Drosophila melanogaster: one gene and its partners. The protein of the gene in region 3 interacts with the protein of the main gene of each other region in a pairwise test. Each region holds a gene or a part of one and is shown on either strand. Other genes may lie near its edges. The genes, in order: Nop56, Pih1D1 and spag.

What was found.
Region 1: the proteins of spag (region 3) and Nop56 interact in a two-hybrid assay, tested with the Drosophila melanogaster proteins (one study listed by BioGRID).
Region 2: the proteins of spag (region 3) and Pih1D1 interact in a two-hybrid assay, tested with the Drosophila melanogaster proteins (2 studies listed by BioGRID).

Annotation. Positions count from the first base shown.
Region 1 is NT_033777.3:22,418,401-22,423,120, forward strand, and holds Nop56 (Nop56), read right to left. Parts: upstream 2,669-4,720; 5' UTR 2,557-2,668; coding exon 2,554-2,556; intron 2,391-2,553; coding exon 1,988-2,390; intron 1,923-1,987; coding exon 838-1,922; 3' UTR 695-837; downstream 1-694. Other genes in the region: mats (mob as tumor suppressor), read left to right, coding at 3,189-3,202, 3,568-3,734, 3,796-4,274.
Region 2 is NT_033779.5:12,715,676-12,723,615, forward strand, and holds the start of Pih1D1 (PIH1 domain containing 1), read right to left. Parts: upstream 6,169-7,940; 5' UTR 6,047-6,168; coding exon 5,978-6,046; intron 5,888-5,977; coding exon 5,776-5,887; intron 3,566-5,775; exon of another isoform or gene 3,370-3,565; intron 2,382-3,369; coding exon 219-2,381; intron 1-218. Other genes in the region: MRP (Multidrug-Resistance like protein 1), read left to right, coding at 6,756-6,809, 6,884-7,940.
Region 3 is NT_033778.4:24,157,506-24,162,144, forward strand, and holds spag (spaghetti), read left to right. Parts: upstream 1-1,878; 5' UTR 1,879-1,965; coding exon 1,966-2,121; intron 2,122-2,174; coding exon 2,175-2,452; intron 2,453-2,511; coding exon 2,512-2,720; intron 2,721-2,782; coding exon 2,783-3,366; intron 3,367-3,423; coding exon 3,424-3,709; intron 3,710-3,773; coding exon 3,774-3,865; 3' UTR 3,866-3,998; downstream 3,999-4,639. Other genes in the region: speck, read left to right, coding at 1-43; CG42568 (uncharacterized protein), read right to left, coding at 276-608; DnaJ-60 (DnaJ-like-60), read right to left, coding at 857-1,025, 1,087-1,415, 1,469-1,580, 1,640-1,683.

The DNA of each region.
Region 1 (4,720 bases), on a different chromosome or scaffold from region 3:
CGGATTCCCTGGACTGTCGCCAATGACCAGTCCGAACATTTTTGGGGCTCCGGCACCGCAGCAAAGCATTCCACAAAACCAATCAGCATTTGCCAACTTTGGAGCTTTCCAGCAGCAGCAGCAGAATCACAGCAATAATAACAATAATAGCTCGTCGGCATTCGACTTGTTTCAATGATATTTTTTAGCCTAATTTAACCCAACCAACCTACTACCCAAAATGTCCACTCTCACATTCACATTTCCACGATCGCTAAACTTGTCAGTTCTATATATTATTTACGTTTTCCTTTCCCCTTGCTGTACAAAGTTTGCGACACGTGCAATTTGTTTCTAAATTCGTTGTTAAACAATTTACCCCCGATGCAATTTTCCGGATCAAACCCATTAATTCCACATCCGTCCTGATCGTCCACTCGGAATTTGAAAGTCGTCATCAAATGCAATACACAGAGTAGTTGAATAATGGTTGTACTAAACGGATTCGTTAGCACAACGCGCGGACGGACGGCTGAGCGATCCAACATTGAAATTGTTAAACAAAATACTACACGTAATAAAATCAAACAATTTTAGCAATAGTTAACGTTACGATGTGTCTGTATATAAATTGAATGTAAAGCAAATATGAAATATAAAACAATTGAAACCAATAATTATGATAGTCTCTTGATTTAAAACGCAAACTCATAAAATTCCGGTGGGAATACCCTCCAAAGTATATGTTTATTATTATTTGAAATGCGATCCATCAGGGGGTCAAAGGAAATACAAAAGAAGCATGTAAGTAAAAGATAATAGTGTGGACTTAAACTAAGTTGAATGTAACAGAGACATTTACGCCTCCACCGCTTCCTTGTTTTTGTTCTTCTTTTTCTTCTTCTTCTTTGGCTCTCCATCATCGTTGCCATTGCCATTTTCCGCCTCGGCGGCTGCTCCGTTTCCATTACTGGCGCCATTCGTCTCGCCCTCGTCTTCAGCCGCTCGCTTCTTCTTTTTCTTCTTTTTCTCGGACTGTACAGTGATTGCCGCCTCTTGACCAGCTGCCTCGATGGCCTCCTTCATTACCTCAATGTTCTTGCGCGGCACATCGCCGGACTCGTAGAACTTGAGGCGATCTTCGACCTGTTGCTTAAGAGTTTCGCCAAACACGCTAGTCGGCTGTTCCAGGAAGCAATCGATACGCGACGCGATGGAGCACTTGTTGGCCAGGAATCGAGAGATGCGACCCTTGTTCTTCAGGCCAGCTCGACCAATGAACGAGGAGTGATAGATAAGACCATACTTGGGCGTATTGGAGCGGGTCTTTAGAGCACGGAAGAGCGCCTTCTCGGCACCCAGGATTTGTACTGTAGATGCTGGGTACTTGGCCAGATTAGTCAAGCTGCCGGCATGCGATATCAGGCGGGCACCGACCTGGTCGCCAATCAAAGACTGCAGATTGGGTGCCACCAAGTTCATCTTGTTGTGCAAGTAGGTAGACAGTTTCTTTCGGTACTCGGAAAGCTTGACAACGCGCTCTGCGAACAGCTCAATGTTCATCAGATCAACAATGGAGATGTCCATGCCCATGGACATCTTGGCGGCATCAATGATAGCCTGAGCCTTGGCGGAGTCCATGACGATCTTCTCAAGATCCTCCAGCTGGTCTTGCGTGAGGTTCTTGCGATCCTTGATGAACTTGGCCGCCTTGGCGAACATGTAATTGTCGGGAACGATTTTGACCAGTTCTGGGAAGTGATACGAGTACCACTCGCGTATCCGCATAGAGAAGGTATTTACGTCCTTATCCAACTGATCCAGCAAAGCAATCGACTGGATGATCATGTTGTCGGAACGATGAACATTGAACTTGACCTTGGCACGCGAGTAGCTGTGGCCCAGACCCAGCTGAGCAACGCCAGCGGACTTGTCGGTGAATCCTGCATCGGATGGAGGAGGCTTTAGTTAGACAAAGAGGATTTTCCTTGCAAAGCAGGTAGCTTACCCTTGACCAGCTTAGCGAAGTGGAATCGCACGCCGCGCAGAATCTCAGGAACCACTCCAAAGTGACTGCACTGGACGCCAATGGCCTCGGTGATTGCAGCTCCCAGCTTGGCATCCGCAATACCCAGGGTGCACTTCTTCTTCTTCAGCTTGGCAAAGAAGTCATCCAAGAAGGAGAGCAGATCCTGCGGCACTATGCCCTCGGATATGGCATTGATGTTTTCCAGTGCGGCAATGGCCGTCTTGAAAGGTGCAAATCCAGCCAGCTTAACAATTGAGTTGAACTTGGCGAGGTCCGTCACCGAGGACTCCACCTGGGGCAGGAACATGGACACCTCTTCGAACTCCTTGACGGAGAAGAGCGAGAAGCCCGCCGCATGCTCGTACAGCACATACAGGTTCGACTGGAGGCGGGGAAATGAAAAATTATCAGTCTGATGCGGTGGCAGACACATGTGGTTTTGGGTGCTCCGCGTGTGTAGGTTAGTTTTCGCAGGGAAAACATTTTCATTTCACGGGCAACCCGCAGAAAATTCAAATATATGATTATTGCACTGAAATATTTACCATGTCTATGCCGAATATATGCCGATTTAATTAAGAAATATATATTTTTATACACCCACGATGCTGCTACAGTTGTTTTCCCACGTGCTTACTTCAAGTGTGACCATAGCAAGCCGATTGCGAAATGTTAGGGACATACCAGATAAAATACCGCAGTACCGTACTGAATTATTTTAACAGGCTGGCCACGTTGATAGCCTGATAACCTGTCGCGTTGTCCCTCTCGCACTTTCATCAACTGTCTCTGTGTGTGAAAGCAATTTTATTTTTATTTATAACAAATTTTTTGCGTTTATAAACACAACAGAATTAACTAGTTGGCTCGGCACACTTCCTGGAACCGCTCGCATCAGCTGTTGGGCTACGGCACTAGTTAACAGACCGACCAACTGGAGGCCAGATACAGATACCATCATTGTCATTTCCCAATTGACCAGAGAAAGAAACCTGCTGCGAATTCCAGTCACTTTTCTTTAATTATTATTCGGCGCTAATTGTGTAAAAATCGGCGGAATAAAGCTGCTGACACGACACAGAAGAGCCGAAAAAGCGGTGTGGCACTCGCCGGAAAAGTCTACGCATAGGAAAATTCCATTGGAGGCTCAGTGAAAGGCGAAGCACAGCAATTGCATGCCATGGACTTCTTGTTGTAAGTTCTCAGGGGGGCAAAACGTAGTGCAACTGCAATCCTTTCGAGCACAAAGAAAGCTTGGATCACCCCGCCCCACATCTGACTTTCCGGCTTTGTTTGCCCTTTTTGGGGTGATATCCCCAACCTCTTGTACAGTGGAACTTCCCTAATTTTGTCTGCGGTGTTTAAAAAATAGCTTTTCAAAGATATCTTGCATTCTTCCTCAGTGAATTTAAAAAAAGAAAAAAAAAGGAAATATTTCTTTTAGGGAGTGTAAATTGAACGAAGTCGCTTACGTTTCAATCTATAGAATCTTTACTGTATTATGTTTTACTGAGTGGGGCTGTTTGGGGCCGCGACTTATTGCCTTTCTCTTTCCACAGCGGTTCCCGTTCCAGCAAGACCTTCAAGCCCAAGAAGAACATCCCGGAAGGCACACACCAATATGATCTCATGAAGCATGCGGCAGCCACGCTGGGATCGGGAAACCTGCGCAATGCAGTGGCCCTTCCAGATGGCGAGGATCTCAACGAGTGGGTGGCCGTTAACAGTGAGTCTAGTATAGTGTAACTAGCGAAAGATAACCAATTCTTATTGCCACTCCTTCGCAGCCGTGGACTTTTTCAACCAGATCAACATGCTGTACGGCACCATCACCGAGTTCTGCACCGAGGAGACCTGTGGCATCATGTCGGCTGGTCCGAAATACGAGTACCACTGGGCCGACGGTTTGACCGTAAAGAAGCCCATCAAGTGCAGCGCGCCCAAGTATATTGACTATCTGATGACTTGGGTGCAGGATCAGCTGGACGACGAGACCCTGTTTCCCTCCAAGATCGGCGTGCCGTTTCCAAAGAACTTTCACTCCTCCGCCAAGACCATACTGAAGCGTCTGTTCCGCGTGTATGCGCACATCTACCACCAGCACTTCACAGAGGTGGTGACGCTTGGCGAGGAGGCCCATCTCAACACGTCCTTCAAGCACTTCATCTTCTTCGTGCAGGAGTTCAATCTGATTGAGCGGCGCGAACTGGCCCCGCTGCAGGAGCTCATCGACAAGCTGACGGCTAAGGATGAGCGGCAGATATAGGAATCACTGCATGGAGCCGCGAATTTTCGCGATTCCGGCGGCGGTGGTGGTGGTCTGCGCTTGCAGTTGGACTTGTGATGAAAGCGCTCTGGCAGACTCGTGTATTACGCTTTAGTTAGTTACCGCCAATACTTTTATGTTTCGTTCATTGCTTCATGGGGTGCCTCCCACTAAACAAAAGAAAACAAAAAACCGCCAATTGGCAATGTGAACCGAACTATAGCGGGCTAATTGCTGATCCAGAGCAACTACTATATTTTTATATGTGAAACGTAAAAACGTATAAATCATATTTATATGTATATGTAAAGGAGAAAACAAAAGCAGCAAAAGCAACAGCACGCCTTTTATAACTAACACCTCCCGCTTTCGAGAAACAACAAATATTACGTTCACAAACTATGCGTGTTTCCTTGTTTATCGTTTTTCTTTCTGTATGTATTCTA
Region 2 (7,940 bases), on a different chromosome or scaffold from region 3:
TCAAAACTGGTTTATCAAAAATTCTTGTAGCTAGAGTACGATCCTTAATTTAAGGCATTTGAAAAAAAAGGGATATATTTTTAACGGGTTTGCATTCCAAATGTGGCTTTAAAATCATTTATACACTTTAAAACCAATACAAAAGCTCTATAAGCTAGCTTGTAATTGGTTTGTATCAAATTTTTAATTTATTAAGAATTCAAAAGTTTATCCCTTACCAGCGAGCGGTTTCGCCATGGCCGCGTTGATCTTGGTTGCCTGTAGTTTCGGTTTGATTACCGACTGACCAGGTTTGGATGCACCAGGATTGGTGTTCATAGGTTTGTTTGGTTGCGGTGCACGATTGTCTTGTGGAACCGCCGACTTCTTGACCATTTTGTTTGGAATATCAGGATTTAGATTTCGAGTTTGAGATGTGGTTGACTTGGATCTGGGTTGATTAGGAGTCCCAGCATTGATGCGATCTGGCCCCTTGCCAGGATTTAAATTTTTATTGATTCTACGATTTAAATTAGTTCCATCTTGTATGGGACCCCCAGAATGGGCCACACTTGGAGCAGCTTCATCAGCATTTGGTAGGCGGCTTCGTCTGTTTTGATTGGGACCCATGGGTCTGTTAGAGCTCGTATCGCGGCAACGATTTCCAGAACCCGATCCACGGAGAATAGTGTTTGGATAGTTCGGTGGAAAATTAGGGTTATTTGAGCCTTGGAATGTGTCATCCTCCCTTCGGGGAAAGCGTACGGTGTCACCGCCACGCGAATAGTTGTTTCGCTGATTGAAGTTGTCGTTTAAGTTGCGTCGATCGAGTTCTGGATCAAACTGGCGCCTAATGCCCTCAAAGTTACGATCGTTGCGATTGCGTCCATATGAATTACGATCATCGATGTTATGATCTTGGATGTAGTGTTGATTACCCCTTGAGTGGTAACCCTCATACTGATCATCATTCATAAGTGTATCATTTGTGTCATCGATGAAATCGGCATCATCTTCAAGAAATTCGCGTTCATCGGGTATATAGTCGTCTATATCATGGTGTTCTAGATCTAGATCCTCTTCTTCGTCAGTCCAGTCGGTGCGACGTAGTATTATTTGATTGTCATTCACAATACGCTGATAATTGTGCCTCTTTTGGGGTCCACGGTTTCCAACCTGGTCAGCGTTCACATTACGTGGATATGGTGGTTGTTTTGGATGCGCTTCAGGCGAACGGAATCGATCTCTTGGCAGCTGAATGCCGTCATCGCTTATAGCATTACGATCCAAGTTGGGTTGCTGATTCGAAACGAAGTTCTGATTACCAGGCCTGCGATTGTTGTTTACTTGGGAATGATCATTGTTTGGCATCTGAACACGATAGTTGATCTGGTGATTTGGTCCTTGAAAACGTTGGTTATTAAAGTTTGGGTTCTCGTCAAAAGTTTTGCGATTGAATTGTGCATTCGCATTACGATTGTTATGGTTATGTCCTTGAGGGAATGCTTGGTTGTTAACATTACGAGTATTGCGATTGAATTCATCATTGACTGCATTACGATTGTGATTAAATTCCTGCTCGTTATCATTTCGGATATTACGATTGAATTCATGCGGATAGGCATTACGATTATTGCGATTGAAATCCTGTGGATTTTGATTTCTATTGGGACGATTGAAATCCTGGGGGTTTTGATTTCTATTAGATCGATTGAAATCCTGTGGATTTTGATTTCTATTGGAACGATTGAAATCCTGTGGATTTTGGTTTCTATTGGGACGATTGAAATCCTGTGGATTTTGATTTCTATTGGGACGATTGAAATCCTGTGGATTGGGACGTGAACCCTCATTTCGGTTGAAATTGCGATTATTTTGATTGAATTCACTTCTGTCCATATTTCGATTATTTCGATTAAAGTCCTGCGCATTTGCATAACGATTGCGATTGAACTCAGCAGGATTCATGCCAGGATTATTGCGATTTACGGGTCCACAATTCCTATTGATTGGCTCCCGTTGTTCCACAACTCCGCGATTGTTGTTTGGGAAATTTTCCTCTCTCTGACGATTCCTAGAACGCGATCGATCCTTATTAGCCGGTGAGTTATTCATCCTGGCGCTGTGCCAATCAATGTTCCGCGGCGGCGACGGAGTGCGTGGCCGCGACTCGACGTCGTCGTGGCTAGCCACCGCTTCCTCGATGGCTTGGAGCACCTCCTTGTCCACCACATCCTGGTGACTGTCGCCCAGCTCGACGCTGAGGCGGAACCTCTGGCGCTGGAAATGGCGCAGGTTGAACTTGGGCACATTGAAGGTGCGCTGCGCCAAGGCGTTGGCCAACACCCGACTGGCGCCCAGGTCACGGAGAAATTGGCGCCGATTGTCCAGCTCGCTGTTGGCTATTTTCATGGTACCACATATGAAATTTAAAATTTAAAAAAGCAGACACGTTTTAGGTTAGAGCTATGTGGTCACGTTTAGCAAACCAATTCCAATCTAATCTACTCATGACGACAATGCTCACTGAAAATATGCATACAAATTTTAGTTTAAATCTATAATAGATTTGCTTTGTTTTGCATTTCTTCCCACCCTTTAATTGCTTTAACAAATTGTACAACACAAAAAAAAATGATAATTTCAATTGCATTACTACTTGATTGCCTTTTCAGTCGTTATCAAAATGCTGACTAAGTTTGATGTTTGATTTTTTGTCAATCTATAAACACTAAGCACTGCCACTATCTCATATTTTAAATTAAACATCTAAATTGATTAGATTAGAAATTCTATCACAGAATTCTATTCTATTGGTGTGTACTTTCGAAATGCATAGCAGCAAATCCTGTAGTTGTAGTTGTTAAGAAACTACTCAGTAATTATACATTTATGGCATCAAACACACAATAAACTGATAATCAATAGGTATGGTCATGCTTATACCAAAATCGTGAAGAATTCGCAACCAAACACCCATTAAATGCTCTTAATTGTATGACTACTGTTGATATCGTTATCATTTCGGCCCACTTTTGTTGCTCTTGCGACAACAAAACGTTTAAGAGTCGCGTCGTGTGTCCATTTCGGTTCAGAATAATTTCACCAGAGCAGGAAAATATGTTTAAATCGGCACTTAAAATCAGGAAAGAGAGTCGGTATCTTTCAGCTGGGTTTTATTCTGGACAAACTTGGCATTATTGGAGAGTCGGGTGCTTTGATGGCAGGGGGTTTTAATTGATCGGGCGGCCACCAGGCAGTCAGCGCCACAAAAAGAGCCAAGTTAAACGCTCTCCGAGGTGGCGCTATTATCTCATTTTTGTTGTTTTTTTTTTGAGCACGGAAAGCGCGGAAAACAAATAAGTTTGTTCGCAGCGCTCGCTTCGAATTCAGTTTGCCTTTTTGCTCGTAACGAGCCGGTTGTCCGTCGATTTTGAAGTGCTCCGCCGACGCTGCCCTCCATCCAAATCCAAATAGCGATCCGACCTCAACCGCTACGGCTCGTTTTGTTTCGATTCGATTCTATTCACTCCGATCCCCCACAACCGATTCGTTTGAATCGCAGCGAGTTTTTTTCTACGTAGAGGTAATTATAAGTGACATTTCAGTCGCATCGATACCGCCAACAACAACCACCGCCGTCCATTTTTGATACCCTTGTTGATATGTGGTTGTTGGATTCCGCCAAAGCGGAACAAGTGTGCCAGTGTGCGTTCGTATCTATGTGTTGTGTATCTATCTCTGTGTGTCCACATTCTTTGCCTGAAATTGTGAAATTTCCGAAAGGCTCCAGAATATCCCGCGCAAACATTTCTCAGCAAACGAAAGAAATACGAAAAAAAAAAAAAAGAACTGACGAGAAATCGATGATTCACATTCAAAGTAGTTTGATATGGTTAAGTGTTTTGTCATGCTCGCAGCTCGATTATTTAATTGATAACAGAAAAAGTGTAAAAATTGTGGTGCGCAAGGTTGTCGTACTGCTGTTCGTACGAACAAATTTGAAGTTAATTGCCTCGTGGGTTCCACTGACGTCACAGGCCTTGAAAGATGGCCTACGATCTGTGGGTTCGACAGCTTCTCGCCCAGTCCGATGGTAATCAAGCTCCAAGGACTCAGAATCAGCAGCAAGTGGAGCAAACAAGTGTGCGATTAGGAGCAATATAGGGTTTACGATGTGCAATTCATAACTGGAGCAACGACAAACACAATGGAAGAGTCTAGTAGGGGGACAGCAACAGGCAGCACACACGATAAGGTTCAGCTGTGGGGTCCCCGATAAGGAGCTGCTCGTATAATCATTCTCGCTATGTGGAAGTTGTTTTCTCCAGAGTTTGCACACTTGGCTAAATGCAGCCAGTCAGCCTTATCTCAGCTTTTTCCCTATTAATAAAAGTCATCAAGTGTCGAGTGTCGTTGATATTCTGTAAATAAATCACTCTTCTTTGGCGGTGTAAACAATTTGTGCCGGCTGGCATGATCTGATCCAGAACAAACAAACCGTGTGTGTCAGTCAGGTTGTGAAGAGAGTGGCGTTTTTTGCTGAGAAAATTGTCAGGTTTTCTCCTTGATTTTATGGTGCAGCCAAGAGATCTCCATGCCATTTTGCTTAGCATCTCATCGTGAGTCGACGTTTTTGTTTTTAAAGAGAAATTTCACTTGGGTGTAAAGGCAAAACACACACATTTCGTACAATTGAAATATTAGGTTTTGTAAGGGGGTTTTTTCTGCCGATTGTTTTGTGCTTATATAATCGCTGCGGGAACAGGTTTCGCCGTTAATTATATCGAACTGAAAATACTCGTTTCAGATGTGTTAGAATTTTATCTAAAGTCAAATGGCTTAAAACACATGCGTGTACGGGGCAAACAAGTTTTTGGCGCCCATAAAATGTGACTAGCCCAATACCTTTTATGAGCTCCGTTCAAGATTCGCTTAAAGTTTCTCATTCCTTCTTTTTAGTTGTGTGTATCTCTGTGTAAATTAGTTCTTCTTCGAGGCGGGGAAACACGTTTTAGTCGCTCATTTGTCATTGGCATTGTACAATCTCGCTGGACTATAAACTATCGTTTCAAGTGGGCGCGATTAGACCTTCCTCCAAGTGGCCCTGGACATGTAAACACTTAACTGCCGTAGCGCACAATAACGACGGCTAGATTACAAAACTTCGTACTAACTACCCGCTCAACCCTCTTTTTGTTTCAATACGATAGATAGTTTGTCAAATAATAGTGTGCATAGGAATTAAACTGATTTGTTTGGATAATTGATTTTTTGCCTTTGTTTTGACGAATTATCCAATAGTTAAGTGCAAAATACTAATTAATAACCATTAAAAGATTGGAAATTTGAATATACAAAAAGTGTGCACAAACTATAGTTAACTTACGGAATTAATTAAAAAATTTAGAGCAATTGATTCAATTTTAAATACAAGTAATTCGGATATGTTTTCAATATTCGTAATTGGTTTTTAAAGTCTTGTCGAAGATTCGTTAGGATGGGTTTTTCTGTCCTATGACGTGTTCCATTCGCGTGCGTTTGTTCGCCTTATCGCGGGTTCACTGTACCACCCCGAGCGATTACGCGCAATCGACGTCGACGTGAGATGTTTATCAGGTTGACATGGTTCCGCGCTCGCAGAGATTACTGTGCACACACAAGTGCTAAGTAGACCATAAACCCAGAGTCATGCCTACTACTAGCTGGCTGTAATCTCCGGTTAGATTCTCCGCGCCACCGGCAGCGATTGCTGTGCCATGTGAAGCTCCGGCTGTTGCAATGGACGCCACTTACCTGCGGTCGGCTGGACAATCAGCGAGTCTCGCGGCGGCGGTTTCTGCTGCGGGCCGCTGCCCTCCGGATCGGCGCCTCCAAAGTACTGGTTAATATTGTCCTCAAACTCGTTCTGCATTTAGAAAATGAAAAAAAAAAAAAACAAGTTCATCTTTAGTGGCGCAGATAGTTCCTCACATCGAATTTCTCAAGTTTTGCTTACCCGCACAAAGCGCAGGTTCTGGTCGCGAAAATTGTCGTTGCCCTCAATGAAATTGGAACGACGCGACATTTTGCTGCACGATTTCAATTGCCAGTTACGAGTTAATCCAATGCAAATGCTATTTTTGCGCTGAGCGACGAGCGAAAAACGCAAATTTTATTTGCCAGAATGGAGCTGTCAACTCGATTGAAATGAAAACTAATGTGACAGTGTGAACGCCGGTGGAAAAACATTTAATGCCATGCGATAGGCTAAAAATACTAGATAGGCGTTTTCCCTGTACAGGGTGCTCATTAATAAAAAGTAAATGACAAGAATTTTCGAGAATAATTGCTATGAATTTCTATATGAAACTTTAAAAGCTTAATCCAAATTTAAGAAATTCATTTGTATTTTTGCTGTTGCAAATGCAATTGATTTCTACTTGCTTCTACTAAGTTTTCCAAGCAAATGTATTTTAATAATTTATGTACAAAAATTACAAGTTTCACTTAAATCAATATAAACAATTAAAATAACACGCAGTGCAGAATTATACACTCATTTTCCATCCGACACCCACTGTGCCCGCGAAATACCAGAAAAATACTAGCAATCAACTTCCCACTGTCACGATTAGCGGTTGTTGTAGTTGTGCGGCTTGGGAAGGAACAGCTGTTGGCCCGAAAATATAGATCCGTTTATTTCCTTGCCGCTTTACAGTTACCACATCGCCCGATATAGCATACGCATATAGCCCAATTGCACGTGGAGGAGGTTGCCGAGCAGTCGAGTAACCATGGCGGATGACACTAGTTCGCCGATGGACAGATTCTGCGGATCCACGTTCTGGGTGAGTGCATCAGCAGTGGTGTTCAATCCGAATGCATAGTGTAAATGTATGGTTTCCGTGTGTCCAACGAACAGAACGCAACAGAGACATGGTATACCAACGATCCGGACTTTACGCCCTGCTTTGAGCAAACGGCGCTGGTCTGGACACCCTGCGCCTTCTACTGGGCGTTCGTGATCTTTGACTTTTACTACCTGAAGGCGAGTTTGGACAGGAATATACCGTGGAACAAGCTGAACGTGAGCAAAGCTCTGGTGAATCTGGGTCTGCTGGTAATCACTGCCCTGGACCTAATTATGGCGCTGGTCAAGAAGGGCGGCGACTCTGAGCTGCCGCTCTACGACCTGGATGTTTGGGGTCCCATCATCAAGTTCGCCACCTTCCTGTTGCTCTTCATATTCATCCCGCTGAATCGAAAGTATGGCGTGCAGACCACGGGATGTCAGTTCATCTTCTGGTTCCTGCTCACTGTGCTGTCGATTCCCCGCTGCCGCACTGAAGTTCGACTGGACGCGGAGCGCCAGAAGATTCTGAATTCGCAACAGCCATCCGAGCAGGACTTTTCCTGGGAGGAGTATCAGTTCGTTAGCTTCTTTATCTTCTTCACCTTCACCAGCATTATGCTGATCCTGAACTGCTTCGCGGACGGAATGCCCAGACAAACCAAGTACCAGAGGGGTGAGAACGAGATTCCCGAACTGTCAGCCAGTTTCCTTTCCCGCATCACCTATCAGTGGTTCGACAAAATGGCCCTCAAGGGCTATCGCAACCCGCTGGAGGAGAAGGATCTGTGGGACCTGAGGCCGCAGGACAGCTGCTCCGAGGTCATGCCCATCTTCGCCCACCACTGGAACCAGAACGTGCGCAAGAACTACAAGAACAAGGCGCGCGTAGAACCCAAGGCGCAGTTTAGCAATGGCAACGTGACCTTTGAGAATCCCCACGGTGAGAAGAATGGCCGCAAGAAGGGCATGGCCAGTATTATGCCGCCAATTTACAAGTCCTTCGGAGGCGTCTTTCTGTTCGGCGCCCTAATGAAGCTGTTCACCGACACCCTGACATTTGCCCAGCCCCAAGTCCTGAGTTTGATCATCAGCTTCGTCGAGGCCCAAGATGCCGAGCCCGAATGGA
Region 3 (4,639 bases):
CAAGGAAGTGGGTCCCGCGAAGGCGGCGCAGACCAAGCTGTAGACGATCTGAGTTCGGATTTTGTACTATCGTATGTGATTCTTTAGTTTGTAGTTCGGTGGCGGGTTCCCAGTAGTGTATCAACGTTCGATTCAGCGTAGTGTAAACAAACAGTACAAGTTACGTATTTATCTAATTTAATCTTCCCGTCGCGACGGTAAACTTAAGTGTTTTGTGTTTAGAACGAGCTCAAAATAAAACCTTGTCTTAATAACATAACCGACTGGACAACAACTTAGCCCCTGCTGGCACGGCGGGAGTTCGACTTCCTGTTCTTGCCGGAGCGCTTGGCCTGGCTCCGTTTGGCCTGGGTCTTCTTGGCGTTCAGTTTCCGGTTGCTCCTGGTCCTGGAACTACGGCTGGTGCTGCTGGCGGTGGTGGTGCCCACACGGATCTTCCTCACAATCGAGTACGTCAAGTTGGACAGGTACACTTTCTTGGGCGTGCTGGACGAGCTGTAGGTGGGACTGGTGGAAGTGGAGGAGGAGTTCTGTGAACTGGAGAAGTCCAGGCAGCAGATCACGAGCACCACGATGCACAGGGTGCCGATTTGAATAGTTGACTTCATGTTGGTAGTAGGATTGCTTTTAATATGCTTCGATGGATGCGGCCGGAGTGCTTAAGTAGTCGCCCTGGTTGTTTGCACAGTTTGCTCAATCGCCTACGAAGGCCGACGAAATTGTTTAATTTTGGCAAAACACACTGGCGCTTAAGCAATCGCTCTTGAGTTTGCTTTGCCTTGAACCAAAACAAAATATTCAAAAATAGCTATATGCTTTCACGTTTAATTTGACCAAAGGAAATGGGGAAATGGGATTACTTAGCCGAAGACTGGTTGAAAGGACTCCGCGACATACGGTCCACCATACGACGCACTTGCTCCTCGTTGCCGTACTTCTGGGCATCGGCCACAACGGCGGCATGATGGGAATTAGCCTCTGCTGAGATTTCGTCCTGGATCTGGCGACTCAGTTTAAAGGACGACCTGTTGGGGATGGTGAAAGTTCAGTGTGACTACTTAAATTCTCTGGTTCATAATCATTAACCTGACGGAGGTGAAGCCAAAGAGTGCCCCGACGAAGCCTAGGGCCATCAGAACCACGGCCACCTGCCAGTTGGAGACCCTCTTCAGACCACGGATGCCATAGTACGGTCCTGGATTGGGATCGTAGTTGGGCCTCACATCCCACGCCTGGCCGGGATTGACCGTCTCGCCAACGGGACTGCGGTCCGAGCGCGATGGCTGCCACAGCAGGCTGTCATCGTAGTCTCTCCTCCGCTCCGGCTTTATCAGGGTCTTGTACGCCTCGGAGATCTGAACAAATCGGGCTGTGCGCTCCGGACACGCAGCATTGCTCTTAACATCTGGGTGGTACTGTGGAAAGGGCAGGGTTTAGGAGGCTCCTTTGGAATCTTGGAGTTACTTACCAATTTGGAGAGCTGGACAAAGGCATTACGGACTTCACGGGTGCTGCAATCATTGCGAATATTCAAAACTTCATAGTGTGTTTCGGGTTTTCTTGGTTTGTCGTTCGAGAAACTGCGCAATAGGCAAACATTTACTTTACATAACAAGTTTTATAGACGTAAAGTCCTTACTTACGCACATATCCAGCTCGAGTTGGAAGGCACAACCTTAGCATTGTGAGCTTTATTAGTATTATTTGTGCTGATCTGTCGGAGAAAGCATAATTTTAAACTAGGACTTTCAAAATAAAATCAAAACACAAAACAGCTGATTTGAGGGCCTTACTCTGGCAATCCTGGCTGGCCAGCTACAAAAATAGAGTTGGCAGCTCTGTTCGATGAAACAGCAACTCAGTTGAACTATCGACAGCGAGCAGTGCTGCCAGACTGTCGGAGCGCTAGCAACAGAAATAACAAACATTTAATATTTCTTTAGCCACTTGACAAGGCAAATCAATATGAGTGCACAGGAAAAAGCCTTCGAACTGCAGCGCCAGGTGCGCCAGAACGCGCGGGAGTACGAGAACTCCGTGAAGGACTTGTACTCCTGGGAGCAAGACATTAAAAACAAGGAGAAAGAGCTCCAGAAGTCGCCGCTTTCTGCCGCCAATAAGGTTAGCTTTAAATTCTTTGGTATTAACAAGTAAAGCTCACACTTTCAATGCAGGATCTGCCAGTGCGCAGTCATGTCCAGACAGACAAGTCGCGGAAGGAGAGCCCATCCTCCTCGGCGGCCAGCTCACCCACGGAGAAACAGGACTTGCCAGTGGATCCTGTGGCCCAGCAGTACAAGAAGGCCAACGACATCAAGGACCGTGGAAACACCTATGTCAAGCAGGGGGAGTACGAGAAGGCCATCGTGGCCTACTCCACTGCCATTGCCGTCTATCCCCACGATCCCATTTACCACATTAACCGGGCACTGTGCTACCTAAAACAGGAGAGGTAGGACTGTTTAGAATGTTCTCGATACTTCTTCCTTACATGCATATTTATCCTTGCAGCTTTGATCAATGCGTGGAGGACTGCGAGGCCGCCATTGCGCTGGATAAGCTCTGCGTGAAAGCTTACTACCGGCGAATGCAGGCCAACGAGTCCCTGGGCAACAACATGGAAGCCCTGAAGGATTGCACCACTGTGCTGGCCATCGAGCCGAAGAACATCGAGGCCAAGAGGAGCCTGGCCAGAATCAACGACCGTCTGCGCAAGATTGGTAAATATAATTTTGATTACCTAGTAAGCATATTTTAAGGCTTTTCATTGGCATCCTTACAGCCACCAAAAGTGGGCCAAACTTTACACCCGATCGTCCTGGCATGATTGAGATCTTGCCAATCGAGAAGCCTGCTTATAAACGCTCCAAGAAGGCAATGCGCAGTGTTCCCGTTGTAGACGTGGTATCTCCTCGTGCTACCATCGATGATAGCAACCAACTACGCATTTCGGATGAGGACATAGATAAGATATTTAATAGTAACTGCGGCATAATCGAAGAGGTCAAAAAAACAAATCCAAAGCCGACGCCAATGCCAGACACATCAGGTCCACCCAAAGCTGAGACCATTGCTAAGACCTCCAAAGAAGTCAAGCCTACCAAACAGACTGCGGTTAAAGTAGCTCCAGCTGTGGAAACCCCCAAAGAAACAGAAACACGCAAGGATACCAAGATTGTGCCTGAATCCGATAATGAGGCCAAGCCAAGTGCACCCAAAAAAACGGCTGTCGAGGTCCCCAAGGTTCAGACTCAAGTTTCTCCACCAAAGACCACAATAGAACGCAGCCCAGAAGTCAATACCGTGCAAACTGAAAAAATTGAACAAGCTTCGAGCAACAACGCAATGTCACCCAGTCCAATAGAGGTAGGTTCGCTTAAGATCAAAGCTGAATTATTATTAAACCAATTCTCTATGATTTAGCGCTTCTTACCGCCCGCACCCACGAGCACAGCACAGTTCCATGTGACCTGGAAGGAGCTGAGTGGTCCGCAGAAGTACCAATACCTAAAGTCCATTGAAGTCCCGAATCTGTGTAAGATCCTGGGAGCAGGCTTCGATTCGGACACGTTTGCCGACCTGCTGCGCACCATCCACGACTTCTTTGTACCAAATAAGGAGCCAAACACAGCAGCTGTCTTGCTGGAGATCAGCAAAAATGACGAATTCACCATTTTGGCCATGCTCATGTCCGCAGAGGAGAAGAAAAGTAGGTGACAAAACTTTTCTTGCATAATTTCGTTTGCATTTCATGTACTTTCCCCTTTTCACAGTGGTTTCGTCTATCCTCAACGCCATCAAGAACTGGCCCAGCAAGAATCCGGCTGTGCTGGACAACCTTTTCAAGGAATACGGAGTAGCCTAAACACCCAATGTTTTATGTTAAAATGTACTTATGTTGCTTCAAATTGTTAGCTCCAAAATCAACTAAAACAACAAAAATGTTTAAAATATAAAGAGGATTTGTAGATAGGATCCCAAAACGTTACACAGAATGCGAATGATTGAATGTGTTTTGTTCAGCGTTTATTAGATACGCTAAGATGCTCACTAGTTACACATGCTGGGAATATCTCAAAGTGACTCATGTTTTTTAGCCTAGTATAAGCCGAAAATTCCATATGCAGAAGACCATTTGAGCAAACAAACCGTTCTTGCCCGACCAGACCATGAATATTGAATAACCAATTGAGTAATACGAATTAGTGTAATTTACATAAATCAGCGCATTAATTCAATCTGCGAAGCCACCTAAAATGGGCCTTCCAGCAAGAACAACAACTCCATTAAGCGACGTTAAGTTGGAAGCGCTGATGATCAGTCGGCTTATCCGATCCGTGCACATATCATTACAGCGAAACCACAGCCAGGAGCACCAGGAGGGGCCCCCAAAGCAGGAGGGGCATCTCGCCGAGAACCGCGCACCACCGAGGCACCCGGGCGGCCCACTAATTGCGTGAGAGCTGGTGCACTAAGCACAGGGGCCGGGTTTTACTTTAGCCCATTGTGCCGCCGCTAGTTATAATTTAATTTACATTTTTCTTAACCAACGCTGGCTGCGATTTATCAATTTCTCGCCGCGAGAGAATTCGCGAGAGCGGCTTCCTCCAGGGTTGCCGCTCCATTTGGCGCCCGGGGA